2 linked regions of the Oryzias latipes genome follow. The protein of the gene in region 2 purifies or fractionates together with the protein of the main gene of each other region. This does not show direct contact. Links are inferred from orthologs where the notes say so. Each region holds a gene or a part of one and is shown on either strand. Other genes may lie near its edges.

Region 1 (16,195 bases), on a different chromosome or scaffold from region 2:
TTAGTTGTCGTTTAGTCCTTTTCGGGCTATTTAGAATGAAAAGAGGTTACCTTTTGATGCAGTTATTTGAAATTGGACATAAAAATAGAATTTTCTGCAGAAATGTGCGATTGCTTCAGCTGGATCTGAAGATGCGGAAGTTAAGAATAACATGGAAAATGTATTGCTAAAGCAGAAAAATGTGTCAACATTTTCTAATCCCTCAATGGGTATTTAATTGTCTAAAGAAACTGAACACGAATAAAAAAAAAAGATTGCAAATAAGTAATGATATTATCTGGGAAAGTGACCAAATCTGCTGCTCAAAAATGTTTGGTTATCGGTGCGCGAAAAGTCCCATATATAGTCAAATCTGCAAAAGAACAACTAAAAATGTGTCTGATATCATTCAGGAGAAGTGGTTAAAGCGTGAAGGTGAACTCCTGGATCAGAAGGTTCTTGACATGACGGCAGTCAAAGCAGTTCTGTCAAATGATCTTCCCTCTCAGTTGAGTCCATCCCAGAAGCAGCATTCATCCTCTCCATTCACTCTTCTGCCATCAGAGCAGAACCCACTGACCCGCCTAAGACCCGCCTCCGAGTCCCGGGCGACGGCGGCGGCGACGGCGTTCACTGTGGAGACGACCTCTGCCGCGGACAGACGGGAAGCGGAGCTTCAAACGTCCACTTAGACTCTTTTCCAAAGTGAGTGAAGTAGAAAAGCAAACACCGAGCGGTGAACCAAATCTGAGAGCTGAGCTGTAAGCAGAAGTGGAACAGCAGAAGCACTGAAAGCAGAAGCAGAGCACAGCGTTTACAGAGAGCCCTGCAGAAACCAGCCTGTGCACAAACCCTCACTCCTGTCCTCATCCAGGGCCCAGATACTGGTTGGAGCTTCTGCACACGCGTGTTGGTTCTCCCAACCGTCAGTGGTCACCTCAACCCCCCCGCCCTTCTGGAAGAAGCTCTTTTTTTTTGCTCTCAGAGCGTTTTGGCTGCAGGTTGAGTCTGTGCTGCAGAATATTTGAGGTCTGCTCTGTTTTTTTGTTTTATCTTTGCAGCATCTTAAAACTGTATGTGTCTGGGTTGCACAGCGGTGTAGCGGTCAGCACTTCTGCCGGGTTTGAATCTTGCCTGAATTTGCATGTTCTCCTTGTGCACGTGTGGATTTTCTCTAAGCAAAACATGCTTGATAGAGTAATATGGGTTATTAAAGACCCACTCCGATAAAAACGGTGTGTTTAACATGTTCTTGTGGCATTTTTCTATTGATGGAGGACATGTTTAAAGAAAAAAAAGAATAAACTACATTTCTGAGTGGATCAAACAAATTAAGTTTAAAGAAGATTGTATTGGTGACGTACAAAAATACGCTGGACGGGCCACAAGCTCCCTGCTCTGCTCCATTCTCATGGATCCACTGTCAGGTAAACAGATCCATGAAGGTCTTTGTTTTCCTGGTAGCTCTGATACTGCTCGCTATTTTTGTTGCCGGTAATGTTAGGTTGGGGTTCTGAGGGGCTGTAAGCTAGCAGGAGAGCATGTAAACGGAGAGCGGTCAGTAACGGGGAGGTTGAACTCTGAGGTGAATTCCTGCCGGTCTGCAGAAACTACGTCCTAGAAAAAACAAAATGTTTCCTGATTTATTTATTATTTTTTTTAGTTAAAAAGGCCAAATCATTAAAAGACCACTAGGAAGACACATGGGAGTGGGACTTTAAGTGTGAGCCTGTGTCCCTGTGATGGACTGAGGACCTCAGTAATCTGGATTCTTCCTCTGACTTTGCAGAACAGCAGAGGGACGTTTGTGTCTTTGCTTTGCCGCTGCGGTGCTGCACATTTGTGGTCACGATCTTCAGAATTGGCAGGTTTGGTCCTGGTTCACGCAGATCTGGCTTCCTCTGATGGTCCTTCTGTGAGGAAGACGCACAGGCGTAGTGTGAATGTGACGAAGCGGGAACCCTTAAAGGCCTTCTCGGTTACCGTGGCGATTAGCTGCCAGTGATTCCTCAGTAGTCTGACGGGACGCAGCTTTTCTTCTTCCTCCTAGTGGGAGCTCGTCTCAGAGGGTAGCGCCACCTAATGAGCAGTTGTTGGAACTGCAGGATTTTTAGCCAGTCTGGCTCATGACCAACTGGGGGGGGGGGGGGGGGGGTATTCATCATCCACAGAACTGACCCAGGAACCGCTTCACTGTTTGTGTGCAGCAGGTGATGAGAGCTGGGAGGCTTCAGCTGAAGGCGTGATCATGGAGGAGGAAGGCCGGCCTCTGCTGAGCTCGCAGCACGCCGCCGACTCCCCCCAAGCCTCTGCGGGATCGGTGGACGCCAGGGCCAAAAGGTGGGACCGCCAGTCGTCTTTTCCCTTCACGCCAGACCCCCCCCCCCCCAGTGTGCTTCAGTGTTTGTGTTTCAGATGTTCCCTTCAGACTTTACAGCTGTTCAACGGTCACTCCCTCCATGTGACTTCGGTGGGATTGATGGGAAAATGGGATCGACCCTTGACCCCCCCCTCCCCCCGCTTCATCAGATCATTTTCTGTCCTCCATCAGCTGTTCTCTCTGACTCCACCCACTGTCACACTCCTGTGTTTTCTTAACATGAATACTGGTATTTGGGGGGGGGGGTCACATACAGGCTGACAGATTTTGTGGAGTTAAATGTTCCACTCTGAGCCCCCCCCCCCCCCCCCACTCCTCTGGTCAGCTTCCTAGTGTTCACTTTGAGCGTGTACGCTAAGACTCAAGCCCCCCCAGCCTGGCCCCCACATAAGCAGTTTATGTGAATATCAAAGCTGTTTGGTATTTCACAGAGACTAGCAACCCCCCCCCCCCACACACACACACACACACACCCACCCCATTAACATCCTGCCACTGAAGAGGACGTTCCATGTTTGTGTTGTCATTTCTGTGAATCCATGTTGTTGATGCTGCAGTGGGGGGGGGGTGGATGATAATAGAGGCTGATGCTGCATATTTTCTCCTGGGGGGGGCAGATTTTTCTCCATGACTGGAAGAACTCTGTGCTCTGCATTTGTGGAAAAGCTGTGGGATCCAGGAAGAGGCGAGTCTAAAGGAAATGTTTCCGTTTTGTCTGCAGGTTTTCAGTCGGGCTGAAGCCAGAAATGAAGCTTTGATACGTTTTTATTCAGGTTCAAACACGGTTCCTAAACAAAACACATCTAAATAGCAAAGTCCCAATTCCTTTTTTTTTTTTTTTAAATAAAAGTGAACTTCTAAACAAAAAAGGCATAAATATAAAACGATACATGTCAGAAAATAAAAATTAAAAGTTTAATTTTTGTAAATGGGATTAACCCTTGTGCTATCTTAGCACATTAAACGGAACATTTTTTATATCAATGCGCTGTCTTCAAAGTCCCAATCTGATCATGTTTTGGTTTGGTTCCCAGTGGTCCCAGCCAAAATAGAAAAACTTGTTGTTTTCTAGGACATAGTCTCTGCAGAGCGGCAGGTGTTTGTCAGAAATTCCCCTCTGAGTTGTGGGCGGGCCCGTTGGTGCAGAGCCTCCCCACCAACCCTTATCAGTCTCCGAGGGCTCTCTGTTTACATTTTCTCCCGCTATCTTACAGCCCCTCACATTAGCGGCCTACATCACTAATGAGCTCTTTTTCTAAATGTAATTTTCTTCATCTGCTTCCAATTCACAGCGATAAATACTCATAAATGCAGTTTAGAGCTTCATTTTCTTTACAGTGTAAATATCCTCCATCGTCAGAAAATGTTGGAAACCCAAAAACAGCCTTATCATCACAGTGGGTCTATAAAAGCTAAACTTGGTTTCATTCTCAATTTCTTGACTCTTAATCTTTTTAAGTCATCTCCAGCTTTGGTGGATCATCATGTAGCTTCAGACACAAACCTGCTGAGAACTTAAAGTCGTCCCCCCCCCCAAGCAAGTGGTGGGACTGAAACCACCGGAACGCTGAAGTCATGAGAAACTCCAGGAAAAAGCTGAAGTGGAAGCCAGACTGTCTGACTGAAACGAGGTGCAGCACAGGACAGGCAGGAGTTCTAGGTGGAGGTTTAAAGCAGAACGACGCATGGGATGGGGTTTAAGGTGGTAGGACAGACGAGGCCGAGGTTTAAGGCGGAATGACGGATGTTGGTGACTCTGTCAGAATAAAAACAGATGTGTCAGAACCATAAACAGCTGCTTGGTCCGTGTGTCTCTCCAGCCTAACGTTATTGCAGCTGTAAAGCTGACGCTGCACAGGAAGATGTCCTCTGTCACGCTGACTCAGGAAACTTTACCCGTCTGAGCTGCTGACTCTGCAGAAGGTGTCTAAATAAGGGTTTCTTGTGCTCCCGCAGGCCTTTCTATGTGGAGCCTCGAAACATCGTGGACCACGACCCTCAGGAGAGGATCTCTGCCGAAGCCGCCATCCTCAACAGCAGACTGCACTACTACAGCCGGCTGACGGGCTCCTCTGACCCGCTGCTGGTGGGTTTGCTGGCACCACCAGAAAGATCAGGATCTCCGTCCTGACAGCTGCTCTAAAAACGCTTCGATGCACATTTGATCCCTTGTGCCATCTTGTGGGGTCCAGATGACCCCAGTCCCAACGTTAACGTGCCTCGGAGGCACGTTAACGTTGGGACTGGGGTCATCTGGACCCCACTAGACAGTGCGCTGAACCTTTTTTCTTCAATGATTTGTGATCTTTACTGGTGTCCATGGATTACATGAAATCTTTCCACCTTTATCCACCTTTGTCATGGTAGGGAGAACACGTCAATGTAAAGGTGGGGTCAATTTGACCCCGCAAGATAGCACAAGGGTTATAGCAGGAGTCGGTGTTTGTATGGAAAAGAGCTCATGAAGGAGAGATTTGTAGGGTTGAAGTCCACAAAACGACCCCCTGAAATCTTTTCAGCGTTCAGAAAATGTGCAGTTGATGTTAGAAACTCCACAGAAATGGAAGGAAGTGAAATCCCTTCAGTGTCCGGTGGGTCTGGGTCAGGAGGAAGACTCTCTGTCTGTGGCAGCTCTTCCTGGAGGACGCAGAGGTGTTCCTCAGCCAGACGTGGAAGTGCAGCTTCACGCCTGACTCACATTCCTCATCCGCCTCATTTTTTTACAGTTTTACAAAATCCTTCTCGCTTAAAAACTACAAATAATCGCCATATTCTTTATGTCTATGGAAGGGTTTTTGTAGCATAATTAAAAACAAGTCAATACCAGAAATGCTTTTTTATTTTCAAAATGAAGCTGCATATTTTTAACTTAAAATTGAAATGAAAAAACAATTATAGCATTAGGCTAATATTTGCTAAAAATATTAGCCGTGGAGGAACTTAAAACTCCGTGCGGGCAATGAGCATCATGGACGTAAATATGTGGGACTTGCATACATCAGCCTTTATTTTGTCTGGACACCACTGGAAACCCAAATTCATGTGATGGTTTAGAGCAGGGGTCGGGAACCTATGGCTCGCGAGCCATATATGGCTCTTTTGATGGTCACATGTGGCTCGCAGACAAATCTTTAATTATACTTTTTTATTCATTAGACCAGTCCTTCTGGGGCGCGATGCGATGCCAGAGGCGCGCAGTAGTAGCGGTGCTTGGAGAACAAAATCTACACCAGCACTATCAGTTACTATTATCTATTATTTCACAGAGTTTGTACCAGCCGGAAACCTGTGAATTGCCGTGCCTAAAACTGGGCGCTCCCGTCTTTGAGAAAGAGCGCGCAGATGCTGGGACGGGATGTGTGAGGAAGAAAGCAGGGGCGGGGGGCACGGCCAGTAAGGTGAACCGCGCAGGGAACCTTAAAAGAGGTTAAGTCTCCGTGCCTCAGTGTGGGAAAGGGACACTACATTAATGTATGGCTCTTTCGAAATTACATTTCAAAATATGTGGCGTTTCTTGGCCAAAAAGGTTCCCGACCCCTGGTTTAGAGTATCTCAGATCTGCGTAGCAGCACTTCCGTTCGGCGATCCGGCTGCCGGTCCGAAGACAAAGCTAGTCCTGGGGAAAGTTTCGACGGAACGCGGTGCGTCTGAAGGCAGAAATGCTGCGACGTAGTCCTGAGAAGCTGTGTAAATTCATCAGGAGTTCACAACCGTCACAGCTCCTCTGCCGCTAACACAAAGCTACAAGCCTGGCCGCACTGCTCCTCGCATAAGTCTCTTAGCAGCCGGACACACGGTTATAGCACTGACGTCATCGCCCCGCCTCCCCTCCGGAAATGCTAAGTCGACTGAATTATGCAACACTATTCGCAGGGTGGATGTGAAAATGAAAATGCGATCCCCTCTTTGCATTTTCGCTTTAATTATGACACAGAATAAGCGGTTTTTAAGTAGAAAATGAAAAAGCATTTTGAAGTATTGACTTTTATTTTTAATTATGCTACAGAATCGCTTCCATGTGTGTCAGAGTATTAAAACAAGATGACATTTTTTCTGGTCGTTGTTTCTTATGCTGATGTCAGGATGCTGTCAGATCACAGAGACAGAAAATCATGATGACTTTACAGCTTTCAAAGGCTCATCAATATCAGTTTGGCTCCAACTGACCCCCCACCCCCTCTGCTGATGTTTTTCCCAGAGCCCCCCAAACCATGTGGTCCCACAGCCTGAGGAGATCTACATCTACAGTCCTCTTGGTATCGCTTTCAAGATCCCAGAAGGAGATCAGACTTCCAAGAACTCCAGCCTCATATCCATGTGAGCCCCCCCCCCTCCCCCCCCCGCCCCCCCCCCCCTCCCCCCCCCCCCCCCCGCCCCCCCAAGCGCCATATTCCTCCTCCCACAGCTCTGATGTTCCTTCTGGTTTTGCAGCTTCGCCATCTGGAACACGATGATGGGGACGTCCATTCTCAGCATACCGTGGGGCATCAAACAGGTGACGTCTTTTAGTTCCACCCCATGGAGCGGCTTTTGCCGTCTGAGCGCGCTCAGCAGCTGGAAACCTGTTTCTGTTCTGCACGCCTGAAGGCTTCCTGTCTGTCTGAACTCTGCTTGCAGGCTGGCTTCACGCTGGGAGTCGTCATCCTGGTGCTCACAGGGCTGCTCACTCTGTACTGCTGCTACATCGTCCTCAAGTCGCCAAGGACCATCAGTGAGTCAGGCCCCCCCCCCCCGTCAGCATTCAGGCCAGACTGTGATCAGATGCTAGATGTTTGATTTTATTTGTTTGGTTCAGAAATAGTCCAAAGTACAAACAAAGAAACTCCAACCTTTCTCTGTTTTCACCACGAGTCGAACGCCAAAACGGAGAAATCCTAAAACCCAGAAAAAAAAGTTAATTTTCTAAAAGAAACCAAATTTAAAGCCTCTTTTTCCAAGTGAATCTGTTTATTTAAACCCACAGATCAGTTCTACTTGGAGTTCTGTTCATTTTGGAAAATATTCCTTTGGTGGAAGCCTAATGGATCCAGTAAAACATTTGAGGGGGGGTTTGTCCTCATAAAGTTTAGCCCGTATGTCGGTGCCAAACGCTTCATCACCAAATTCAACACCTAATTCTGAAATTCTGATAAACATTGTCATTGAAAAAATAAACAAAAACAGGTTTGACATTTTTGTTTAATGGATCCAGCACTGATTTGATGACGATACCAACCAAAAAAAAAGGCCAGATGGATAGATGGGTGGGATTTAAAGAACATTTTTCAACATCAAAATACCCCCCCGGCCCGCCCCCAATAATATTCTGTACATGGCTCAACAGAGCTGCAACATTTGGCGGTTCTGGTAGTTGAGAATGGAGGGGGGGGGGCTTAAAGAAAGTCCTCAACAGCTGCTGTCTCAGATGAAAATCATGACGGTTCTACAGGATTTGGGCCTGAATGCTCGTCAGAGCAGATGCTGCCTGACAGTCTTAGGATTTTCCTCACCTTTCAGGTCCTTGAATCGGATGTTTTCCACGTGAAATGGCAGACCTTTGTTTTTCAGAAAGCGTGGATACCACAGACTGGGAATTTCCGGACGTGTGTCGGCACTACTTTGGAAAGTTTGGCCAGTGGTCCAGCCTCCTCTTCTCCCTGGTGTCGCTCTTAGGAGCCATGGTGGTTTACTGGGTCCTCATGTCCAACTTCTTGTTCAACACGGGGCAGTTTATCTACAGTGAGTGTCACACACACACACACACACACACACACACACACACACACACACACACACACACACACACACACACACACACACAAATAAACAAAATAATAATATCAAAGTTTCCTGCAGGCGGAGAAAGTTTCTGCCGTTAGAATGGTTCTATGCTGGGATGGTTTTCTAGGTGCTGAAGTTCTTCACATCCTTTCTTGTTGTCATGGTAATTCTGTACCTTGTGGGGGCGGGGTGGGGGCTGGCCTTCCACGTTTACCTTTAGGCCTCATCGTGTTTTTCTGTGGTAGAAAGCAGATTTCCTGTGTCGTCTGCAGATCAGGCTCACAACATCAACGTGTCAGATTCTCAGTTTGGAAACAACGGCTCCGATCAAGGTAAGCGTTCCTTTTGAACGGCTAAATCATCGTTACATGAATCTTACTTAGTGGCATTGACTGTCATTTGTTTTTCTTTGGAATATTTTCTGATAGTTTTGATTATTAGTATGGACTTCCTTTGTTTTAAAAACTCATTTTCTGGTACTTTTCAAAAATAAAACGTCCTTTAGGATCAGATAAGACAAAACAAACATGTTACTTTTTTCTCTCTGCTGCCGTGTCCTTTGGACCGGTACCGGTCCGCTGGCTGACTGCGTCTGCTTGGACTGATGCGGTATCCCGTTGTTTTTGGTTTGCAGTCATCTGTCCGTACCCGGTCATACACCCGGAGGGGGACGACTGCGGCAGCGGCGGCGGCGATGCCGGAAACGACATCTCCTTTGGGCGCTACTGGAGTAAAACCAACACGGTCCCGCTCTACCTCATCGTTCTGCTCCTCCCACTGCTCAGCTTCCGCTCCGCCTCCTTCTTCGCCCGCTTCACCTTCCTGGGTAAGACAGATCCAGATCCATGGGGTTAGCTGGAGCGGGTTTCCCTCAGACTTTATGTGGAGCAGACATGGAGGAAGCGTGGCGTTTATCCGTTCAGACCTGCTTTTTCTGATGCTGAGCGGAGTCTAACGGGTCAGAGGGACGTCGTTTCAGTTGTTTGGTTGGAGGCTAGCCAGGTGACGGCTTCATCACTTCACATCGTCTCTTCCAGGAACCATTTCTGTCGTCTACCTGATTGTTCTGGTCACCATCAAAGCTGTGCGCCTCGGCTTTCACCTGGAGTTCCACTGGTTTGACCCCACCCACTTCTATGTTCCAGGTAAATCCTGTGCAGATGATGGAACGCTCTTTTATGTCTCCTGAACGGAGATCGCGCCTCTCCCTCTGGCGTGGAGGAGACGTTTTTATTTATTTATTTGTTTTATATATTTTATAGACAAAATGTCAGACAAGCAAAACAAGTAGTTCAGGTGCTCTTTTGACCATTACAAGACAGAATGAATAAAGAACAGTAAATATTTAATTGCCAGTGACATTCTATTTAATATGTTTGATCAGGCCGCCCAACCTTTTGGAGCACTGTGGTGGTCCTGAAGCTGATGTGGGGTCTCTCCTCCTCCTGTTTCAGAGTTCAGGGCGCTCTTCCCACAGCTGACCGGCGTCCTCACTCTGGCCTTCTTCATCCACAACTGCATCATCACACTGATGAAGAACAACAAGCATCAGGAGAACAACGTGAGCCGTCTCCGTCATCAAAGTCCTTGAAAACAAACCTATTGAATAAGTCTAGGCTGTAACTGCAGTTATTTAGGGACAGTAGGCCTCCCCGATCAGTAAGTAGCTGTTGGATGAATCTAATAACCTTTCTCTCTATTAACGTCTACAGACTCAGACAGATTTGGGTCAGACTGGACAGACGGATCATTTCATTCTATAGCTGCGTCTACATGGACAAAAGTAATCGGAATGAACGCCTGATCGGAAGGAAAATGCGTCATGTAAACACAGTGTTCGGAATACTCTGCTCCGATCAGACTCGTTTGGATCAAAATTCTTTCAGATAGGTGGGTTATGCCGACCGTTGATCATGTAAACGGTTCATTCCGAGCGTGTGTCACTGCTGCTCTGGTTTTACGTCACGCAGAGACGATCCTCCAGAGAAAGCTTTGGAGCGCAAACAGGACCGACCGGCTGGTCCGTGCGACTGAACCGCGTCTGTGAGCTCAGCAGCCGGACTTACAGCTTTGTGCTTACGGGCAGGGGGGGGGGCTTAGTCCTTAGAAACCGTTTCTAGTCGTGTCCTGACAAAATAAAGGATGATGTTATTCCCACCTATTTACATGCAGCCAAGATGCAGAGTGCTGCATTTCCCGCATGGATTTATGTTCATCGAAGGCTAAATGTTGTTGTTAGCGCCTGTTAGCCTTCAACTAACCCTTCTTCCAGCTCTGTTCCGCCACAAAAAAAGCACCGACCACAGGGATTACAAATAAATTGATGAGCGAACAGGCGCTTCAACATTAAAACCACGTTTAGAGGATCAATCTTTGATCGGATCAAGTTATTTCTTGCATGTAACCGTGGCTTATGATGAGGTTTTTTTTAAAAAATTTTAAAATTTCTTTTTGATGAGGTCTTTAAAGCCTGTCTGGAGTAACATGCAAACGGCGTTCCTATCCCAATTAACATTTTGAAAGTTTTTCTCAGTGTAGTTTTGCTTGCTTTTTTAATGTTTTTATTATTTTTTTTAATTTTGCTGCATCCCTGACTCTGTCATCTTTAAAGTCCACACTCTGGACTCTGTGTGTCGGTGCGTAAATGTTCTTCTCTGAGTGTTACTTTAGCGCCACCTTGAGGACCCAGAAAGAAATTCAGTTAATTTGAGATGGAAATGTGTCCAGACTGGACAGAAATGCAGAAAATCATGTTGACGGTGTTTGTAGATCCTGATAGTTTGGAATGCTCCTGTCTGTTCATGCTTCAGGTTCGGGACTTGTCTGTGGCGTATCTCCTGGTGGGGCTGACATACCTCTACGTGGGGGTGTTGATCTTTGGCTCCTTTCCTTCACCGCCTCTCGTCAAAGACTGCATCCAGCCGGTACGTTTTTTTTAGAGTCGTGGAAAAACGCACAGAGGTTGGTCAGATTTCCAGCAGACGGTCCAGCGCTGAGGGGCTGAAGGGGGGGACACCAGCTGCACACGGACCTCATTCTGGATGGAGACCCAAGGTTTCCCATGATCCTCCAAATCATTGCATTGTTAACCACCAAGAAAAGCTTTAGACCCTTAAACTGTTGAAGGTTCGCGTGGTTTTCAGCCTCCCCACATGCAGCTTTTCAGAACAGTTCCACAGTTCTGCTGGTGTCGGTTCTGTTGGTGCTGGAGCCTTTAATGGTATTCTGTATTATGTGTGAGGGTACCATAGTCTAGAGCAGCGGCTCTTTCCACATAGCTACATTCAGTAGCCAGCTAGTGAGAAATGATGAACTAAAATCAGGCCTTTTTCAAAAATCTCCAAACTTTTTTTTTTTTCCATTTGTCTGACTGAACATAGTTTTGCATTGACCAGTGGGTTTGCTAATAATTCAAAACAATTGAATACATCTAACACCTTTGTTTTAGCGGTGGGGTAAGAAAGTTTATGTATTTTCCAGATTCTGCAGCTTGTTCCGTGTCAAAAACCGAGTTTGGTCGGAAATGTTCATCATACAAACACTTCAACTATGAGAGACAGAATGTGGTAAAAGAATCCAGGATTTTAAATAATTTATTTGTATAAAGGTGAAGAAAATTGATATTTATCTCCCACAAACAGACAAGGATTCTGTTCCTCACAGACCTGTTTCTTATTTTATAAGAGGCTCTGCCTGTATTCATGTCACCAGTTAGAACTGGGTATCTGTATAAAGACAGCTGTCCACACCCTTAACCAGTCAGACTGTTGCCTCTCCACCACGACCAAAGAGCTGTCAAAGGACGCCAGGAACTAGACTGTAGATCTGGACGAGACTCGATGAACCAATCTACAATAAAACAAGCAGCTTGGAGAGAAGAGATCAAGGCAGAATCCAGATTCTTCCTCTGCTTCTACCCACCCCCTACATTTAGCCCTCCAAACGGAGAGTTATGGAAAAAAAAGGTGTCTTCTAATTCGGACGCCACTCTCTCTTGATGACGTCATCAATAGTCGCAGGTCATCCACATTGTGGCGTAGCTGCCAGCGCTCGGAAAATGCATAACCACATCGGTTTTATAACGGTAAAAAGTCTTGCTAAAACAAAAAAGTGATGACTTGCATTTAAATGTAAACTTCAGTGCTTCAGAGCAAACCCACATGAAGAAATGCGTTTGTCCTCCACGGCACAGCAACGCCGCAGAGGTTTGCTATTAAAAAAGCTATTTCGGACACCCCAATCCTTCTTGATACCCCTGCAGTTGAGGATAGGGAGAACCCGAAGGGGAAGAGTTCTGATTCGGCCCAAGAGTTGGAGCAATTATTAGAAAATGGAGGATCACAGACAATCTCCCTCCACCTGGAGCTCCGTTAAGATCTCACCTGGTGGAGAATAAATGAGAACGGTGGGGAAACGGCCCAGAGCGATGACCTGAAGAGAGCTGGGATCACGTGTAACAAAGGGCACTATTGCTGCTCCTTGAAAAGAAAAAAAAAAGCATGCTTATTTTCTGCACCGTTATACAAAGAAATTCTTTCCTGGATATTTTTTTTACATCTTTCATCTCTCAGACAAACAGACCAAACTCAGCTCTTTGTGTGGGAACTCCTGCAGAATGTGGGACTCAAATACTTTTTAGCTCCATTGTAGAGGAACCTGAAGTCACTGTGGTTTCCACCTTTTTTTATTTTTACTACGTCAAAATGCTGCTGCTGAACACTCACACACGTGGGAAAAAAGGTATCTTTAACCTCATTCAGGGCGTTTCATGATCAGCACGTGGTTTGATCTATTCTGACTGTGTAACAAACGCAGAGCGGTCAGAGTTTTTCAGCAGACTCCTGGCCGGTGTAAACACCGTCTGATGTGAGGAGCAGACCGCAGTCTGTTCCTGAACCATATGGACTTCAACCAAAGTAGTGTTCAGGACGGACGGACGGGTCGGAAGCAGAGAGAACCAGGTTCATTTTCAGGATCAGAGCTCAGACCGGATCTTTGTCTTCCAGAACTTCCTGGATAACTTTCCCAGCAACGATGTTCTGGTCTTCGTGGCTCGGATGTGCCTGCTGTTCCAGATGGTCACGGTCTATCCTATGCTGGGGTACTTGGTGAGGGTTCAGGTCATGGGTCAGTTCTTTGGAAACCATTACCCCAGGTACGATGCTGTCAGAGACCATGATGTTTGGTTTTCTGCTTCACTTAATAATAAATTCTCTGTGTCGTCATGAAAAGAAACCCAGTTAAAGCAAAGCTCTGAACAGAACCCGAATAATGTCATGTCAGAGGAACATGAGACCATTAACAGAGTTATATAAATAATGTCTGATAGTGGTTCTGCATTCTCTCCTCAGCTTCTTCCACGTTCTGGTTCTAAACATCTTCATAGTGGGGCTGGGCGTTCTCATGGCCAAGTTTTATCCCAACATTGGATCCATCATCCGGTGAGTTCTGATGAACGTGAACGCTCCCGGCTCAAAGCGAGGCCTCTGAGGGTCTCAACAAGTTCAGATGTTGATAAAAATGTTGTTTTTTATGGTTGTTTTTGCCCTTTTTTATTAAACCTCTCTAGTCTCCTGGAGATGGAGGGAGGGGGGGGGGGGGATATTCTTTCTTAGATTTGATGGGAAGTTCGTCCTCAAGTTCAGGGAAAAAAGACTGTAAAAGGTCAAAAGAAAGTAGTTAAGAAGGTCAATACTCTTCCTTTTATTAAATCAGTGGAAAGACAAAAATAATTCTAAAATAAGGCAAAAGTTGTTTCCAAATAATAAAATGTAAATGTTCAAACTGAGCATCTTTTGTTTACAGTCTTCGAGGTCAAACAGTAATCAGAGTAAATGTAACTGAGGGTAGAGGATCTTCATCATCTGTCTTCTTGAATGACAGAATCCTGAACCGTATTTAGCCCCTCCCTCCTCCATATGGGGAGCCGCTCAGCCGCCTCCATGTGGGTCCGGTCTGCGGTCCTGCAGGAAGATGCGCTGGAGGTCCCGGCCTCCGTCGTCTGCACGCTCTGAGGCCAGCAGCCCTCAACCCCCCCCCGAGCAGCAGGACCTCCACCGGGCCGCAGGTCCGCGTGCGTTTAGGGCGGGTCCAGCGGGATGCTGACGCCTCTCTCTCTCTCTTTCTCGCTCTCCTGCAGGTTCTCTGGCGCCATCTGCGGCCTGGCTCTGGTCTTCGTGTTTCCCGCTCTAGTCCACATGATCCCCCTGAAGCGGGAGGGCCGGCTCACCTGGCTGTCTGCCGTCCTCCACAGTTTTCTCATTGTGATCGGCGTGGCCAATGTGGTCGCTCAGTTCCTCATGTGAAAGGCCGTCAGACCCCCCCTCCCCCCGCCCCCTCTAGTCAGTTATGAACTAGGACTTTGAAGAGGAGAAGGGTTGTGATGAAGATCGAGTAACTTCGGAGCTTGATTCATATTTACGTTTGTCTTTGGTTGCTACACGCCGTTTAACAAAACCGTGCACGCCTCACATGCACACCTCACGAGCACATCACTGGCGTGACCTAACAGGAAAAGAGGCGGGACTCGGCGTGAATGCGTCTCCACTGAGAGGTTCTGAGCTCGTGTCCTCATCCGACCCGCTGAGGTCCTGCTGGACGGTTCTGAGAGGAGCTGCGTTCACCGTCACCACCGAGGACCCCGGGAAGACGACCTGTTGGCCTTTTTCAGGTCTGACCTTCTGCGTTTGTTTGAGGCCCGTTCATCCAATGAACCGTCCTCCCCGAGTTTTATGTTAGGATTGAAAAAAGGGAATTTTGTGAGAAAATAAAAAGTTAGACTTTAATAGACTAAGCGTCCTCATTTCCACTCAGACCATCAAGGTGAAGTTCAGCTCGGCTGGATCAGAAATGATTCCCTGGAAGGATCAAGTCGGACAAACATCGGTGTGACAGGAATCTTTTCTAACGTGCTTACTTTTGGAAATGTCCTGAATTCTCATAAAAACGTCATTGGTGAGGCAAACACTACTCCAACTCATCACAAGGGGGCGCCTGTGGACTGAGGTACTTTGAAGCTTTCATCCTATAACCCTTGTGCTATCTTGTGGGGTCCAGATGACCAGGAGTGGGATCATCTGGACCCCACAAGATAGCACAAGGGTTAAAGGGGATCTACCAAGTCAATGAATTTCAATTATTGTTTTATAATTGACGTTTTCTTATCGCTCTAGTAAATACATTAAAATTCCACCCGATGATCTATTTTCACCTCATTTCCCATCATCCCGTTATTTGCGCTCATTCCCACTAGCTATTTTTACGTTAAACATGTTAAAAACACTATTTTCATCAGAGTTGGTTTAAGACGATGTTATCATCCAGAAAATAAATTACAAAATATAATTAGAGATGCAGTTTTGACCCCAAATAAATTCCTTTGAACCTTTTAACTATTTGCACTGAGACTAAAGGAAGCTCTGGAGGTCAATACAACATGGAATTTGACTGAGAATCAACATTTAAATGAACATTTTTGTTTGAATTAAACAGTTGTGGAGATTAATCATGTGGCTCCACTGATTCTCAGGATTCTGAAAAGACTAAAAAACATTTCTCCTCCGAGCTGGACTTCAAAACCTGATCAATAACTCAGATTTTCTTCTAAAAAGGAATCATTTATAAGTATGTGGTTCACTTCCTCGGCCCTCCAGAGAACCGACACGCACACATTGTAGTTCAACAGCTAAAAGGAGTTAGAAGAGCCACAGGTTTCCCGTTATCTGCTCAACGGGACACAGCGCCCCCGTGTGTGTGAAAAGGGAAATGCATGTCACCGAGTTTTTTTTTCTTTCTTGGTTTGACATTTGCAGATTTTACAATAAAAAAGGTCAGGAATTGGCAGATGTTCGGGTCCAGACTGTCTTCATCTATTCAGCGGAACAAGAACACTTTGGGTCAACGGATGCGTTTCATGAACCAAGTTTGCAACCAGGCAGATACTCGCCCAAAATGCAAATGATAAACTTTTTATTTAAGACACTTTTGAACATGAATTTTTTTATTATGTTTTGAAAAAAACTGTTTCGAATGTAAGCTATAAAATATAAAGTCTAAATATTTTAATTTTTAATAATA
Region 2 (16,798 bases):
TGGATATTGGCAGGTGCCACTCAGCCCCGCAGCCAGACCAAAGACTGCTTTCTGCACCGGGAGAGGGTTGTGGCAGTTCCGCGTGCTCAGTTTTGGCCTGTGCAACGCTCCTGCCACGTTCGAGCGCCTGATGGAGAAGGTGCTGGCCTCCATCCCCCGTCAGGAATGTTTGGTCTACTTGGATGACATTCTGGTACACGGGGGGTCTTTCAAGGCTGCGCTGGAATCGCTGAGGAAAGTCCTGCAGAGGATTGCTGCAGCAGGTCTGAAGCTGCACCCTGACAAGTGCTGCTTCATGAGAAGAGAACTGGAGTTTTTGGGTCACAAGATTGGGGGCGAGGGCATCAGCACTTTGGAGGAGAAAGTGCAAGCTGTGAGAGACTGGCCAACGCCCACCACTCTAAGAGACTTGAAGAGCTTCCTGGGGTTAGCCTCCTATTATAGGCGGTTTGTTCGCGGGTTTTCCTGCATTGCTGCCCCTCTGTTTCACCTGCAGAGGAAGGACTGTGACTTTGTTTGGACGCAGGAGTGTGAGCAGGCTTTCAGCTCTTTGAAGAAGGCTCTGACAAACTCTCCTATCCTGACCCCCCCAGATCCCAAATTACCCTTCATTCTGGATACGGACGCCAGTGATGTGGGAATGGGGGCCGTGCTGAGCCAGATGGGGTCAGCAGGAGAGAGGGTGGTGGCTTACTTCAGCAAGACCCTCAGTAAAGCGGAGCGGCGCTACTGTGTGACTCGCAGGGAGCTCCTGGCTGTTGTCAAAGCCATAGGCCATTTCAGATACTATCTGTGCGGCCTCCCCTTCACAGTCCGGACAGACCACTCTGCTCTGCAGTGGCTGATGACCTTCAAGGAGCCAGAAGGTCAAATCGCTCGCTGGCTGGAGGAGCTGGCTTCATTCTCCTTCACAGTGGAGCATAGACCGGGCTCCCGCCATGCTAATGCTGACGCCATGTCTCGACGCCCCTGTGCCCTGGCAGGCTGCCAGTACTGTGAGAAAAGGGAGGCTCGGGAAGCAGTAATCAGCAGAGAGGAGCAGAGCCACACCGGTGAAAGCAGCTGGCCAGTTTGCAGACTGGTGCAGGGTGTGGACTCCACTGAATGGAGAGCGCATCAGGAGCAGGATGTTGACCTGCAACCAGTGCTGCAGTGGGTGGAGGCCGGCCGCAAACCTGAGTGGGGGGAGGTGGCAGGGTGCTCCCCCGGCTCCAAAGGACTCTTCGAAAAGTTTGATGCTTTGAGACTGAAGGATGGAGTACTTCAGAGGGCCTGGAAAGAGCCGGCTACCGGAGAAGAACGGTGGCAGGTGGTGGTCCCTCGTACGCTGAGAAACTCAGTCCTCCAAGGTTGCCATGGAGCTGCAGGGTCTGGACACTTTGGCGTGTCAAAGACCCTCCGTCGCATCCGCCAGGGGTTCTACTGGGGCCAGCTTAGGAGGGATGTGGAAGACTTTTGCCGCCGCTGTGACATCTGTACAGCGCATAAAGGCCCCCCTGATCGGTCCCGCGCTGAGCTCCAGCAGCTGGCAGCAGGGGCACCAATGGAGAGAGTAGCAGTGGACATCATGGGCCCGTTTCCACGCACAAACAGAGGTAACCGATTTGTTCTGGTTGCCATGGACTACTTTACAAAATGGCCGGAAGCATATGCCATCCCAGACCAGGAAGCAGTGACTGTTGCAGATGCCCTGGTGGAGGGCATGTTTTCTAGGTTTGGCGCTGCTGAGGTCATTCACAGTGACCAAGGGAGGAACTTTGAGTCTGCTGTGTTTTCCGCCATGTGTGAGCGTTTGGGCATGCGGAAGACACGGACCACCCCCTTACACCCCCAAAGTGATGGCTTGGTTGAACGTTTTAACAGGACCCTGGTGAAGCAACTAGCCATCCTCACCTCAGCACACCAGAGCGACTGGGACGAGCATCTTCCACTCGTTTTGATGGCATACAGGTCTGCAGTGCAGGACTCCACCTTATGCACACCTGCTTTGCTCATGTTGGGACGAGAGCTACGCACGCCAGCAGAAATGTCTTTTGGGAAACCCCCTGATGCCCTGGGAGCTCCGCCTGGACCTGAATATGCCAGGAAGCTGCAGGACAGAATGGACACGGCTCATGCCTTTGCCCGCAATCAACTAGAGAAAGCCGGCATAAGGCAGAAGAGGAACTACGACCTGAGGGCCAAAGGCAAAGACTTCAAGGCAGGAGACCTGGTGTGGGTGTACAACCCGAAAAGGAAAAAGGGTAGATGCCCTAAGTTGGACTGTCAGTGGGTGGGGCCCTGTGAGGTGCTGGAAAAGCTGGGAGAAGTGGTTTATAGGGTTGAGCTCCCACCTGGAGGAAGGCGTGTGACCCTCCACAGGGACAGACTGGCTCCGTATAGGGGTGATGCACGGCCACAGCAGTACTTTGGGAGGTCGTTGCCCCCCTCAGCTACCCCCACCCATGCTAGGGCTGGCCCCCCCGCCAATTCCCCACATGCACCCCCACAGCAGCAGGTGGTCTCGGGACATCACATGGCGCCATCCGTGCCGGCTCCACGGAGGCCCAGGAGATTGAGACAGCCTCCCCCCCACCTCCGTGACTTTGTGTGTGACCCCACGGGACGTGGGACTTTGTAGGGGGGAGGCAGTGTAGCGACTAACGTTTTTGGGACTCTGTTAATGTGTTCTGGGTTACATCGTTGCTCCAGTGTGATTGGATGAGCGGGAGAATGGGCGGAGGAGCAGACAATAAAGGAGGGGTCGTGGGTGCACGAGGGGGTTGGGGGAGGATGGATGCTTTGATGGAAAGTTCTGATTATCGTTGTGCTGTATTTGGCGTGGTTACGGCCGACAGTAACTGTTCCTAAGTCATTAAAAAGCCTCACGGTTAGAAACGGTCGCCTCCGCTTCATTATTGCGTCAGTGGGACGCTACAGTATTAACAAAGGAAACAGACGCCAAGAGTCAGGTAGGAATTCCACGAGGAGAGCTGGAAACAGACAACCCTTCTGCTCCGAACCGCTCTTCCTCAGGGTGACTGTTCCAGCCTCGCACTTTTATTTAGGTCTCTCTAGTTACACCATGAGTGAATTATCTATACGTCACACGGTGGTTGTCAGTAATTTTCTGCTGTAATCACAGGAAGTTCTGTCTTTCATGATCAAATTATCTCACATTCCAGATGCTTCTTTCCTTTCTGCTGAAGTGATCACTTTTCTGAAATGGCACACGGAAGGATTCCAACCCAAACAACTTTATTTATGTAAGAAAAAACACAGAACACAAAAACTGTCTTAAAAACAGAAGTTTGAATAATAAAAAAAATATATACATTAAACACCGAGAAAAATTACAAATGAGAATTGTTACTCTGAATTTAAAAGAATGTAATCAGAATTGAAAACTGAGCTACTTTCTGATCAAATTCTGCCGTTTTGATCAAATAAAAAGTTTTCACTAATAAATGATTCTGTCATCAATATTTATACAGAGACACTGCCGGATAAAAAACCAAAGGTTGCTTTGGATTTTTCTGTTTTGCTCAACAGTAGAGGAACGACTCCTCCTGCTGGCCGTGGACTTGAACCAGCAACCCCACAGCAGCAGGTTCATGTCACTAACCTGAGTTACTGGGAGGGTGAAGGAGTGAGAGTGAAGTGAATGGAGAGGATGACTGCAGCTCAGAACCAACCGCTGAGGTTATAAACAAAGTGAAAATAAGTCTGAAGTTTTAAAAGGCTCCCTTTGTTTTATTTCTTCTTTTTCATGCTCACCTGTTTTGTTACACCTGTCCTCTAAAGCTGCAGCTGGATTTTCCATGATTCAAGTGAAAAGACTGAATCATGAAATGAAACAAACATGTTTATTGTTTCTCATCTGGAAAATAAAAATCCATCAATTCTTCCTTCAAAGAGCAAAGAGATGTTTTTAAAAAGTATTTCTTGACTTTTAGCTTTTTAAAATCTGGTTTAAAGATAACAGGAAACACGTCCAACTTTTAAACCAACATTTTTATTAACCTTCAAAATAAAAGCATGATAATTGTAAATGCAGAAAAGCACGATTTTCCAAAGTTCTGCCAGAATCCAAAATGATCCGTTTCTGAGCAGCAGGGGGCAGAATGGAGGACATTTTGGAGAGACTCACACCCACACAGATGAAAAGCAGAAAGTTACAGAAGTCCGCAAAGGCCTCAGATCAAGCACTCTTCACTACGATGCCGCCACCTGAGTCAGCGGCTCCTCCAGGTATTGCACCAGCGCCTCCGCCTGCAAGCACACACACGGTCACAGAAGGCGGGTTCAGGTGGGGAACCAGAAGCTCATCCCGGCGGGTGTTCGTATTTCCAACCCGACTTTGAGAGCTGCACAGATCATTGTGCATGAGAGCCAAGGTTAATCTGGGGAATATGGCCTCTTCAAAGACTAAAGATAAAGTTTAAAAGCTTTTAAAAAGAAAGCTTTTCCCTCAATCTGTCATTTTTTCATTGCTCTTTTCCTCTTCTCTGATTGTTCTTCTGCAGGTGTTTGAAAAAGTGATGTCAATCAGGGATTGTAATGTTTCTATTATCATTATTAGGATAAACTGGATTATGAAAAATATAAAAAAAAAACTCAGTAAGGGTGGGTTTATATAAATCTGCTCCTTCCTGCCCCTTTAAAGAATAAATCAAGTTCTACTTGACTGTAGTTAATTATCACTATATGTAATCAATCAAACGTGACCTAAATGCGTCTTTGTTTAATCAATGCATTTCATTCTTTCTGTGATGACCTTGATAAATCAGAGATATTTTAGGACTGACATGCAGGAAACCAGGGTTCGCTTCACAGAGCTGGGAATTAACAAGCAAGCAATTGAATTGGTGAGCAGTAAACACCAGTGAGTGAGGGCCCTTGGGTAAGACCCTTAACGCTACCAGCATGAATGTGCATGAATGATCCCAGTGATGGTCCGAGGGACCGTAGGCGCGAACCAACTATGAATGAAGAGTGAATGAATAATGGACACATTTGAAGCGCTTTGAGTGTCTGGAAAAGCACAGATAAATCCAATCTATTATTATTATTAATTCAATTAAGGCTTGAAATAAACCAATAAGTCAAATCAAAATGAAATTACCGTTATATATATATTTTTAACATTACAGATAAATACTCTACTAGAAGTCGGCACTTCCTGAATGGATCAGGACGTTTTATTGTCGTAAAGCGGAGCAGGAATACGCCACCAGGAGGCGCACAAACACAGTTCGGGAAAGTTAACCAGTTGTTCACAGATTCAGACTTCCTGACACAATAAGTACGGTATATCAAACATTTTATACTGACAGCAAGTGTCTATATTGGCTCATCTTAACTTACCAACGACTTACAAAGACTGTAAATAGTAAATAAATAAAAATTGCTCTTTTTTTCATTCTTTTCAAGAGAATGAAACTGATGGTGGGCTGATAAGGGACCGCCTACAAAGTGCAAGTTCTGGGAAAAATAGACCAAGATAAATAAATACATAATAATAATAATAATAATAATAATAATAATAAAAATACTAACGATTAGTCAATGGTTCTGTTGAAAGTCACAAATACTCATCATAATTATGCTACAACGATGAATTTGGAAATTGATTATTTGATATTATAACAGGGAAATGAATCACATCTGATCAAAAATGTTCAACAGTTCTGAAGATGTTAAGGCTACAGTCACCAAACTTTCTCATAGGGCTAATTAACCTATTTTGACTAGTTAACTATTAACAAGTTTGTACTAGTTTATAGTTAACTATTTTTTCTATTTGATAATTGCATTACTTTTCCTTGATTGTTGAAGATACTTCCCAGAAGTGCTCTGTTTACGTGTAAAATGCTAAAAGAAGCTTAATAAAATTTTAAAAATTTGGAAAATGTTGATCTGTTTATTAAGTTTGTCATTTTTTTTTGGATGTGCTACGACAGTAACAGATCGGAACTCGGTATCGGCAGCAACTCCAAATCCAATAACTTGGAATCGGAATTTGATCTGAAATATGCTTCACTTCCACTAAACTACATAGAGGAGAGTGAATGAATAAACGAGTGAATAAATGTCCTTGGTTGAACTGAACTTGTGGGGTCAGGAATCGGGACTCGTTGAGGAACCACAGCTGATGAAGACCCATGTGAGGAAGCAGCGCCCTCACCTTTGCTTTCAGCATCCCGAAGCCCACCGTCTCTTTGGCGTACATGCAAAGCAGCAGGTTAGCCACATGCGTTATGGCCACTCTCCCTTCCTGAGAAAAAAAAAAAAAGCCTTTTTATTGGTCGAGTCCAAAGACTAAAAGTCACTTTTCTTTACAGGTTGTAACTTCCAATCATAAATCCACTAAGTCAGATGGATTTCTCACAGAACACTGCTTTGCTGTTAGTTTGCGATGCTCAGATTTACGACAGTATTTATGTAAGCCTGACCTTCACTCAGTTCAGCAGCTCTCAGCTAATGTGCAGACATGAATTATTACTGAATAAGGGGCGATGAGGCGCAAATCGAACTGAATCACAGGTTTGAAAGAATGGATCTCAGCTTTTTTTATGCGACCAAATGCAGCAGGTTTCCCCTCCATCTACAGAGCAAGACTCTCCACAAAGCCCCTCCTCCTAAGGCAGAGTGGGGGTTTTACTGTGTGGATTCGCTGATTTTCGGGAATTAAGTTAAACATTTTGCCTCAGAGCTGGAAGTTAGAAATAAGAAAATCATCTGGTTGTTTGCATGAGCGAAGATTATTTATGTATCATGAGAAAAATGATGCAGGACGTTGACACGTTTGACTTGAGCAATGTTTACAAAACTGTAGAGCGGGGCAAAAAAAAATGGGCAAGGAGTACAAGGAGTGTGTGTTTGGTGTCTTCCTGTGGTGCTATTGGTATCAAGAGCCAGCTCCTTCCATATCTGAAGGTTTGCTCAAGTCCCATTATTCATATTTTGTACAACATTAAAAGAGCCATTTGGTCCCGTTTGAAACAGACCAGACTGAACAGGTGCCACCATGTATGCATGCTAAAGCAAAACTACAAACACATTATTTTATTTAAATAATACACATTTTTTCTTTAAAGTCACAATGGAGGGGGAAAAAAAACAGCTGTGATGCCTCAAATTGCAGACCCCTTCAGAGATGTTGGGGCATTCATAGAATCTAACTTCAACAAAAGGGCTGAAGGAAAACAAGGAGAAAGTTCCCACCATGCAGTCCATGAGGATGAACTTGAGTTTGTCCTCGTTGAAGGCCTGGTGGCCGTTCTTGTCGTAGGCGGCCCAGATGTTGCTGGCGATGGCAGCGGTCACTCGAGCGTCTGTGTCGCCGTAACCGGAGTACGCCAGGAGGGAGCCTTCGTTGTTCAGTAGGCTGCTCGCACAGAGAGACGGTTGTTCATTACACACAAAAACAACACAATGATGAAAAGTTACAGTGACAAAGTTTTAAGACAAACGCCATTCCGTTTTCAAACCATGAAAACCAAGTAATTTTGTCAGGAGGTCTCCAGGACAGAAATTGATCGATTGATGCAAAATGGCTAAAACGATGAACAGATCTATATCAAACAGATCTACATCAAACATTACAGATTACTTATTTTCCCACACCACTTTTTAAATGTAAATCGATTTTTTTTGCTTTTTTTCTACCTGATAATGATATTTTGTACCCTGAACAGACTTTCTAAGCAAAAATAAAAACGAACCAAATATATTTTAAAAAGACTCTTATTTTGAAATCAAAATTCAACTGCTTGAAATTCGTGTAAAACTGTATTTGATTTAACAGCGGAAAACAAATCTTGAAAAAATATATTTGTATTTATTGCAATAAATAATGAAAATGTAAAAGTAGTATTAAGTTGGTGAAGTAATAATTATATAAACGTGTCGTTTCAGGGGAGCTTTAAGAGTTCTAAGGAGCTAGACGCAAACAAACCGCTGCTAGCTAGCTGGATGTTAGCCTGCTAGCTCGCGGTACTCACAGGGTGCTCTGGACGCCGTTCGTGTTCGCCTGGCTGAGAACTTGCGTCAGCGCTTTGGGTCGCAACATGGCCGACCTCTCTCAGGAGAAAAAACCCAGAAAAATGATCTGACTGAATAAACACGGGGCTTAAAAAAGAAGAGAGAACTGCTCAATAACAGAGCAAAGTCAGCTGACTCGATTCTTCTTCTGTTTCCTTTTCCGGTACATTTAGAGATGCATCATGGGAATTGCAGTTATATCCAAATACATGTTTCCTATTTATATTTATTATGTTTTTCTTTAAACTTTATTTTTAAATTTTTAATTATTCCTGATTTTTTCACAAATCTTTTTGTTTTAAATTACTTTCCCATGTAGTCTGTAAACATTTTTGAGAACTGGAATATGGCCATTCATTCATCTTCCTCCGTTTTGTCCATTTCTGGGTCACGGGGCTGCTGGAGCCTATCCCGGCCACTTGTGGGTGAAGGCAGGGGACACCCTGGACAGATTGCCAGTCTGTCGCAGGGCCACAATCACACTCCCATTCACACTCACACCTATTAGAGCTGCTAGAATATGACCAGTTCTTTGGAAATGTATCATGGGAAATATAGTTTGCTTCAGTGAACGACGAAAACTTCACCTCCTTGATTCATCTCCTTTGTCATATTTAGAGTTTTTATCTCAAAGATTTTATGCTTCAAAGAAGTGTACTTTTTATTCTACTTCAACCAAAGAAGTGTTATTTAAATCTTTTGACACTCCTCCTTACAGTAAAGGTTAGTCTGCTTTGAGGTTTTTATTGTCTGCTGGCTTCCTGGTGGGAGGACATGTTTGCGCAAAGTGTTTGGCAGAATCGTTTCCCTCCTGCCCTTTGGACATCAGAAAAAGTGATCGGGCCGAGGATATTATTGTTTTTTTTTTGTCTGTAAGAAGAGGATTTTGTTCTAAGAGGTAAATCTGTTGTGTTTGAGTGGACACACTTATAAAAAAGACACAAACCAATCATTTGTATAAACAAAAGTTGATTTGATTCCATGCTGTAACTGCTATGGTACATGAGTGCATGGTTAATATGTATTCTCTGATATGTGTTTTGGTAAAATTATAGTCACACAAGTGCATCCGTTTACAGTTTTGTTTATACCGTCAACCATTGAAAGCTACAGACGTGGTGTAAAATCAGAGAGGATGTAGTCTCATTTTGGCAGAAGGAAATAAACACATTTCCTTCTAGATATGTGACAAAAAAGTTAACTCTTTAAATTTATAGTAAAACTCTTTGAGGTCATTCTGACACCTCTGAAGTTTAGATGAAAGGTCAAAAAATCAGTTTTTTCTATTCTAGTCTCTGCAACTGAAAGGACAAATGATGATGACGAATAAAAGTGTCTTTTGGAGAAAAGAAATTACAAAAAAAATCTAATCAGTATGTACAGTGTGGCTGCAAGAAAGGCTAAATATCACCAATTTTAAAAAGAGTATGAATTTGCAAAACTTTGAGTGAATACTAATACACCTTTATAAAATGGCAGAAAATACATTTTATTTCATTATCAGAACATTAACCCTTGTGCTATCATAGGCACTTTAACACAGAGAGTTAGGTCATGTAGACCCACTAGAAGTGCTCTGAACCTTTTTTCTTCAATGATTTGTGATCTTCACTGGTGTCCATGGATTACATGAAATCTTTCCACCTTTATCCACCTTTGTCATGGCAGGGAGAACACGTCAATGTAAGGGTGGGGTCATCTAAGATAACACAAGGGTTAAGGCCATGTCACACATTTTGCTTAAGTTCTGTCTTTTGTGAAACATATGTGATAAACGTAATTCATTCATTTGTCAATGGGCACAGATCTGTAGAGGATTTCGGCCAACGACTCTTTGCGTGAGTCTGGTTTTGAGCGGTTTTGAAATTTTGCAGTTTATGCGTAGTTTACATAGCTTAAGGCCTGTTCACACCGGGACAAATTTCGTCGGCGAATTTAACGCCTCGTGACTAAACAAAGGGCACCAATGAGAGTGTGCACACCGACGCGAAAAAACGCCACGCGTCAAAGCGTAAAAAAAAAAAGCGCCTCGGGTTCGTTTTTTTTTTTCGACGCGTCGCGTCGAAATCTACTGGACCAATGAGAATGGCGCTTTTGCACACGTGTCTGGAGCTTCTGAAGTGACAGTAAAACACAACTTGGGGGCGCTCAAACACAAAACTGCCTTGCTGAGCACACATACCAGCGAAGAAGATAGACGCCAAATAGCGTCTACACTGCCACGAAGAAATAATGACGGACATTCTAAAATATCCCCGAACCAAGCACCAGTTGGAGCTACTGGTGCTTGAAATATTCATGTTTTCTTTGTTTGATTCTGACAATCGCGTAAATACTTGCTCTCTTCTTCTGAGTGAAAAGCGACTTTAAGAAGCATAAAGTTGCGCAGCGCCACCTTGTGTACAGGAGTATTTCTGTTTACATTAAGCGCCATCTAACGTCAGGGAATGAAATTGCATGTTGGCTCGGCTCATTGTCAGCGAAAATCGCCTGGGTGTGAACACAAAAAACATGGCGAAAAACGCTGGCGAATAACGCCTGGCGAATATTCGTCCCGGTGTGTACGGGCCTTTACACACAATTATTAAGTAAATCTTAAGCAATTGTGTGAGATTTATGCGAGTCGCATACACATTTTTGACTTTCCATGACCGTTCCACGTATGTGTAACAGACGTTTCATGCATATACTGTTGATGTAAACCTTTAACTTTGCGTATACGGCGCACATATCATGTTCAAATTACGTAAATTCATGTTCTATGTAGATTTACGTGTTCTTTGCGTGGTTTATTCTTACATCTTCCATTGTACATCTGTGGTTCATTTGTACATCTGTGAAAATTTCATGTAAAGACGTATATTCACATATGAACAATTTTCACCTGTGCACAAAATGTACGTAGTGGCTGTGTGACACAGACTGCGAACAAGTTGCTTTACCAAAGCAAATTCATGGTGCTTTTCTTTAGATAAATTATGGAATATTTTTTCAACACAGTATTGTTTGGTTTGTTAACAGGATATTTTTTATTAAAAAAAAAAACAAAGCTGAAAGGTGCCTTAACCAGTAAGCATGATTAAGAAAATAAAGTGCTACACATTTCCAAAACTGCTTTATTGAACTATATGATGATGATGATAGATTAAAAGATCAAAGAAACAAATTTGCCTATTTCAGGTTAAACTGAGCATCATTGAGCTGTGGAACAACATCTGCCGCCTCACTGAAGAGTAAACATCTACTATGAGACGGTTCTCATTAGATCTTATTAGAGAGCTGCTAAATGAGGCGTTTTGTGGTGCACTGCCAACTAGTGGTTAACTGTATATGAGAACTGGATTGAGTGACCCCTCTCCCTGTTGTTCCAAACAGGAAGTGTTTGGAACCTAAATCCCATAAACTTCTTTAGACTTCTCAGTCAATCTATTGGTCAGAAGGACTTCTGATAAACTTTGATAATCCTATTTTTGTCTTGATACATTTTCTATTGTTAAAGGTATTCAAATTATAGATGCCTCAAGCAAAGTAAGGGGAGCCTGCTGGCACCCATGTCGAACGTTTAAAACGTTTGATTGACATGTTTTGTGTAGTCCACTTTAAAATGGTAGAGGTGTGACCTCCCAACATTACTAAGTCCTGATTTCAGAGAGTGGTTGCCATAGAAACGTTGACTCCGCTCAATTTGAACAAATCACAGCTCAACTCACAACATCTGGCTCCAACATGGATAGCACAGGCCAGGAAGTGAACTATTTTCTATGAGTGACGTCACGCTCACTCATTCCAGTTCTCACATACAATCAATGGGTTAAAGTGGAACACAAAAGTAAGACGCTGAGCTAAATGTTTGCTTAAAATTTGTTTTTTAAACATTGTTACTGACCAATAAAATATCGCAATTTTTCACATAATTGATATTTTTCCTACATCCGCAGACAGGATGTCTGTGATGATGACCAAAGGTGAAGGGGTCACAGTGATCACCCTGAACTCCGACCCCAGCAGTTCCTGCCCCCCCATCTGCCAGATCCTCAAAGGTCTTTGCTACAGCCCGGCGTTGTGCTCTGTGTCTCAGCCGCTGAAGAAGAAAGCGTCTCTGTCCATCCTTGGGGTGAGTCCTGGTTTGTTTTACTCTAATGTAAAAACGACAAAGTGACATCACAGCCAACAACACTGTCAGAAGTCAGAGCTCTGTCTCCCTCTCTGGTCACCAGTGGGAACCATCTCCAGAGTTCTAACCACACTTCCTGGATGCCACACACCCGACTCTCATTCACTCATCAACCACAGCATAGTTAAGCTCTGCCCTGAGCCTCACTCAGTGAGAAGTATCGTTTGTGCTGCTCTGCCTTCCTTACCGAGCGTTGTAGTTGGACCGGATCCTCTGTCTCCTGACCCGGTTTCTGACTCTGTTTGCCTGCCGCCTGCCCCGACTCTCGCCTGGATCCTGACTACCCTGTCTCTCCTCGGATTATCTCATATCTGCCTGACCATGATTTAGCTTCGTGGACTTTTAGCTGAGCTAATAAACCTGCTGCATTTGGATCCAGCTGTCTGCCTGTTCTTGTGACAAACACACACGTGATGTCAGCAGAAACTGATCAGTCCATCATTCCAGTCCAATGTGTGGAAACACTGAATTTAGCAAAGTCATGTGACCATACAGTGTGCTAGAACGTTCTAACAATGTTCCTTTTGGATTCTATGGATGTGGAAAAACAACAGTGGGCTGAACTTTAGGAGAATGTTTTGCAGTTTGTCACAAACTGTTCTAGAGTCCTATTTGACATTTAAAGTTCTGGTTAATGAAGCTAAACCTACAAAAACTGTGAAGTTTTCAGTCATATTTGTGCCTTCATAATTTGGAGTAATAACACATTCTTCAGGAAGACCTTATCTTAATCTGGATATTTTCTATTATTTTAGATGTTTTGTTTGTGATGTTTGAAATCCATGACAGAAAACTGCAAACAACACGATGAGGTTTTTGCAGAACACTGAGTTCCTGTGTCTCTCTTACAGGCTATGCAGATTATGATTGGGCTCCTTAACATCGGCCCTGGATTAATCCTCCGCACGAGTCAGCTCACTGCGTGGTATCTAAATATGACAGAGTTTCCTATTTGGTTGGGAGCTTTGGTAAGATACCTGCATAACAACTGGATTTCATTCATGAACTGAAGAATGCTGAAAGCAAAATCCCAGAACTTAATTCCTCATCTGAAGGAGTTGACGTGAGAATGCGTGGTTGCTATGGTGACAACGCTGTAAACAATTGATGCTGAACATTGTGCAAGTTAAAGACAAAATTAGATGAATAATGGATTTGATAATGAAATATGACAGACAAAAGAAAAAAACAAGACATGTAGATATTTGAGAAGAAACTCAACATTACTGCAAATCCTAAATCAATCAATAAATGACCAGAATAAATTGTAAACCAGCTCTAATGACACAAAAAAGTTCAAAAGGTCAAATTATGATAAAATAAATCTTTAGTTTAGCTATTAAAGAAGGTAGGAAGTACAAGAACCTAAAAAAGTCTGATTTTACTGCCAAGAAGGAGGTACAGGATAAAAAATAAAATGCTGTATTATTTGTTAATTGATAATGGAGTTATAAACAATAAAACAAAAAAAAAAGCTAAGATTGTTAAATTTACAAGAAGAATATTTTAAATAGCACTTTTAAAGCCAGTTGATCTCAAACGTATGATGCAGGACTTCTGAAAGGACTATAAATTAGGATGAAGAATGACAGAAAATGGCTAGGGCTCAGGGTTATATGCATAACTTGTATGTTATGTATTATACTGATCATTGATGACAATGCTAAGTGCTAATATTTATTTGAAGCAGATCCTTTATTTTGATTCAAATTCTAAATAAGTTATGGTTATAAACAGTTATGCATTATAATGGATACATATAAAAATGAAATATGCATGAAAGCCAAAAGATACCGTGAAGTGATGAAGGTGAAATAAAAAATAAAACAATAATTTAAAATTTGTATAAATTCAGAATTAGAAAATATGCTAGCATATTCATTTTAAACACCACAGGACATGATGAACCTTTCCTTTTTTTTCTAGTTCATTGCATTTGGCTTCATGTGCATTTTATCGGAGAGGTTTCCAAGTCGGTGTTTGGTGAGCAGTTTTCTACTTTCTTAGTTATTTATTCTTTTCAAATTGGGAGCAAAAAAAGCTCTGCATGTCTTCACTAAAGCAGTACCGTGTTTCATGTTCAACTGTGTAAACCCGTTTTGGGTTCACAGGTGGTCCTTAACGTCATCGTGAGCGTAGCAGGAGTTGCTTTGTCCATCACAGCCATCGTTCTCTACAGCATCTACATAGCAACCATGGAACCCTGGGGCTGCGACTATGGGTACTATCGCTACCCAACCCCTGCCACAGTGACCCAAACACCGCTGCAGGAGAAGTGTAACGAGATCCAACAGCTGACACTGGTCAGTTATGCAGCTGGACGTCTTTCATTTTCTACTAACCTCCTTTCTACCTTTAAACCCGGGCTGTCAAACTCCAATTACCCCAGGGGCACTGGAGACAGAGTCTGGGGCCACATCAGGAATTTAAAGCAAGACATTTACTGAGGTCTCAAGCCTAAATTTGAAAGATGTCCTTATTTCTATAGACCCTGAGGTGTTATGTAAATGAATGGAGCTCATAAACAGATTATTTGTTTACCTTCTTGAGCTTTATGGTTATAGTTGTAACCGCAAGTTCAGGAGCTCCGTTTGAAGCACCAGGAGGTACAGCGGTCCCTCGCTATAACATGCTTCATCTTGTTGTTTTGCTGTTATTTTTAATGCAACTTTCCATGCTTTTTTTCTTTTTCTTGTTTTATACAGCAGATTTATTCTGCAACCTGACTGGCTGCCGACCTTGTCAATCAATCCTCTCCGTGCTGTGTCCCCAGTGTACAATGAGTACCGTTTGCCAAATTTACATAAATGTTCAATCACGATCGCATCTTTGTATCCATTCTATAATACTGGATTTAGTTTTCTATGAAGGTTCTTGAGAGTTGAAAAACAAGAGAAAAACATCTATTATTATTGTAAAACGTAAAGAGGAAACTTTGCACATTTTACTCATAGTGGGTTGTTTTAAAAAAAACTTAACTTCCTCAAAAAAGCAAGGATCCACCGTACATGAGGACTGGAGCGAGTGACGTCACCCCCAGAAAATGGTTTACTCCGGCCAAATGAAGGCAATTCTGTCGCCCATTTTTCTGACTGCGCATGCTGCCATGTTGGAGCAAGACATGGTCAGTGATCAGTCATTGGTCAGAGTCAACATTTCTAGGGCAACCACTCTCATCAATCAGGAGTGAGGTTGTTGGAAGGCTGCACCCCTACCACTAACTTTCCCTGAAATTGAAAGCAAACTAGCCTTCATTTGACCCATAAAACCCCAGAAGTTCTTAGGACATCTTGTGGGCTACTGTGATTTGTCCAGGTCCTCCTGAGGGGCTTGAACGGGGTGCTGATCGTGTTGTCGGTCCTGGAGCTCTGTGTGGTCATCAGCGCCGCCATCCTGGGGATCAAAGCTCTGAGGAGCAACAAACAAAACAAGGTGAGGCACAAAAAATGAGCCAACGACAACTTTTTTAGGAGCTTTTATTGTGAAAGCAGGAAGCCCAGATCTTGAGGTGTTTGAGAAGATCTGATGGAAGAATCTAAATCCTCTTCTCTGCTTTTCCAGCAGGTTTCTGCTCCTTTACAGATTTGAGAAGGAACAGAACATGACCAGCCTGATCTCTGCTGTTCAATCTGATTAAATGTGTTGGACAGAAATATGAAGTCAGATGCAAACCCCTGTCACTGCAGTTTAAAAAGAGACCCTCAGAAGGAATTTCTATATTTTTAACATATATGTGCATGTAAATGCAATTTTGGCTCAAATTTCTTTTTGCATACTTTTACATACTTTGAATGATAACTTTATTCTCACATTTCTGGAAAAAAGGAAGTTTTAAGATGAAAAATTAAAATTGCTATTCTTTCATTTCTTCTAATGACTGCAATGACTTTGATGTTTCGTGTGCTGGATTGAATAAAACTGTACTTACTGCCATCCTGTTTGTTTTTCTGTTTGTCTACAAGGTTTTGTTTGTATAAAAATGATTTTTGTCCAGTATTTTAATGAGTTCAACAGTTACAGGAAACCTGACCAGGGTGTAGCCCGCCTCCGGCCTTCGGTGTTGGGGTTAGGCTGTGCTCAAGCGGACATCCGCCCCTCACAAATGCTAATGTGTCTAAGAAGACTCTCGTTCTTCCAGGTGGATTCCATCATAGTAGTAGTTTTAGGGGTTGTCATCTGGACTTAGTTTTTAAAATCTAAGTCCAGATGACAACCCCTAAACCTAGTACTATAAAATGCAAAGGTGGGATCAAATCTATCTTTGGTTACTTCTCTCCTCAGCATCAAACTCTGTGGCACGCACTCTGTAGATAAGGTTATTTGGAAATTCACAGTTTTATCTTTAATCCCTTAGGACTTGTTTCTTTAACATAAATTCATGCATGTTCTAGCCTCTAGTGATCCTTGTTTGATTACCTCTTACACCTCGCCTCACGACTCTTTGTCCTGTTCCAGGAATATCCTAGTCCACGAGTGGACGGTCAAGCGGACGCGCCGAGCAGATTTCCATCCACACTCACCTCCTTCAGTGGAGCGCTGTTGGAGTCCACGCCAACTCTCAAGCCACAGTCGGTCCCTCAAGCTACGTTTCCAGTCCTC

Evidence for each region.
Region 1: the proteins of lamtor2 (region 2) and slc38a9 purify together in Homo sapiens (co-immunoprecipitation; 5 studies listed by BioGRID and IntAct, with this or other methods). This does not show direct contact. The link is inferred for Oryzias latipes from reciprocal best matches to the Homo sapiens genes LAMTOR2 and SLC38A9.

Annotation. Positions count from the first base shown.
Region 1 is NC_019870.2:27,093,013-27,109,207, forward strand, and holds the end of slc38a9 (sodium-coupled neutral amino acid transporter 9), read left to right. Parts: intron 1-543; 5' UTR 544-684; intron 685-2,186; 5' UTR 2,187-2,227; coding exon 2,228-2,319; intron 2,320-4,315; coding exon 4,316-4,445; intron 4,446-6,557; coding exon 6,558-6,676; intron 6,677-6,790; coding exon 6,791-6,854; intron 6,855-6,976; coding exon 6,977-7,070; intron 7,071-7,906; coding exon 7,907-8,077; intron 8,078-8,391; coding exon 8,392-8,451; intron 8,452-8,753; coding exon 8,754-8,945; intron 8,946-9,156; coding exon 9,157-9,264; intron 9,265-9,573; coding exon 9,574-9,680; intron 9,681-10,929; coding exon 10,930-11,043; intron 11,044-13,125; coding exon 13,126-13,274; intron 13,275-13,470; coding exon 13,471-13,560; intron 13,561-14,258; coding exon 14,259-14,424; 3' UTR 14,425-14,904; downstream 14,905-16,195.
Region 2 is NC_019874.2:28,614,920-28,631,717, forward strand, and holds lamtor2 (ragulator complex protein LAMTOR2), read right to left. Parts: upstream 8,200-16,798; 5' UTR 8,054-8,199; coding exon 7,986-8,053; intron 7,370-7,985; coding exon 7,207-7,369; intron 6,257-7,206; coding exon 6,167-6,256; intron 4,252-6,166; coding exon 4,195-4,251; 3' UTR 3,975-4,194; downstream 1-3,974. Other genes in the region: uncharacterized protein LOC101171775, read left to right, coding at 11,969-12,139, 13,051-13,167, 14,126-14,182, 14,311-14,502, 15,515-15,631, 16,655-16,798. UniProt on the Homo sapiens protein: As part of the Ragulator complex it is involved in amino acid sensing and activation of mTORC1, a signaling complex promoting cell growth in response to growth factors, energy levels, and amino acids.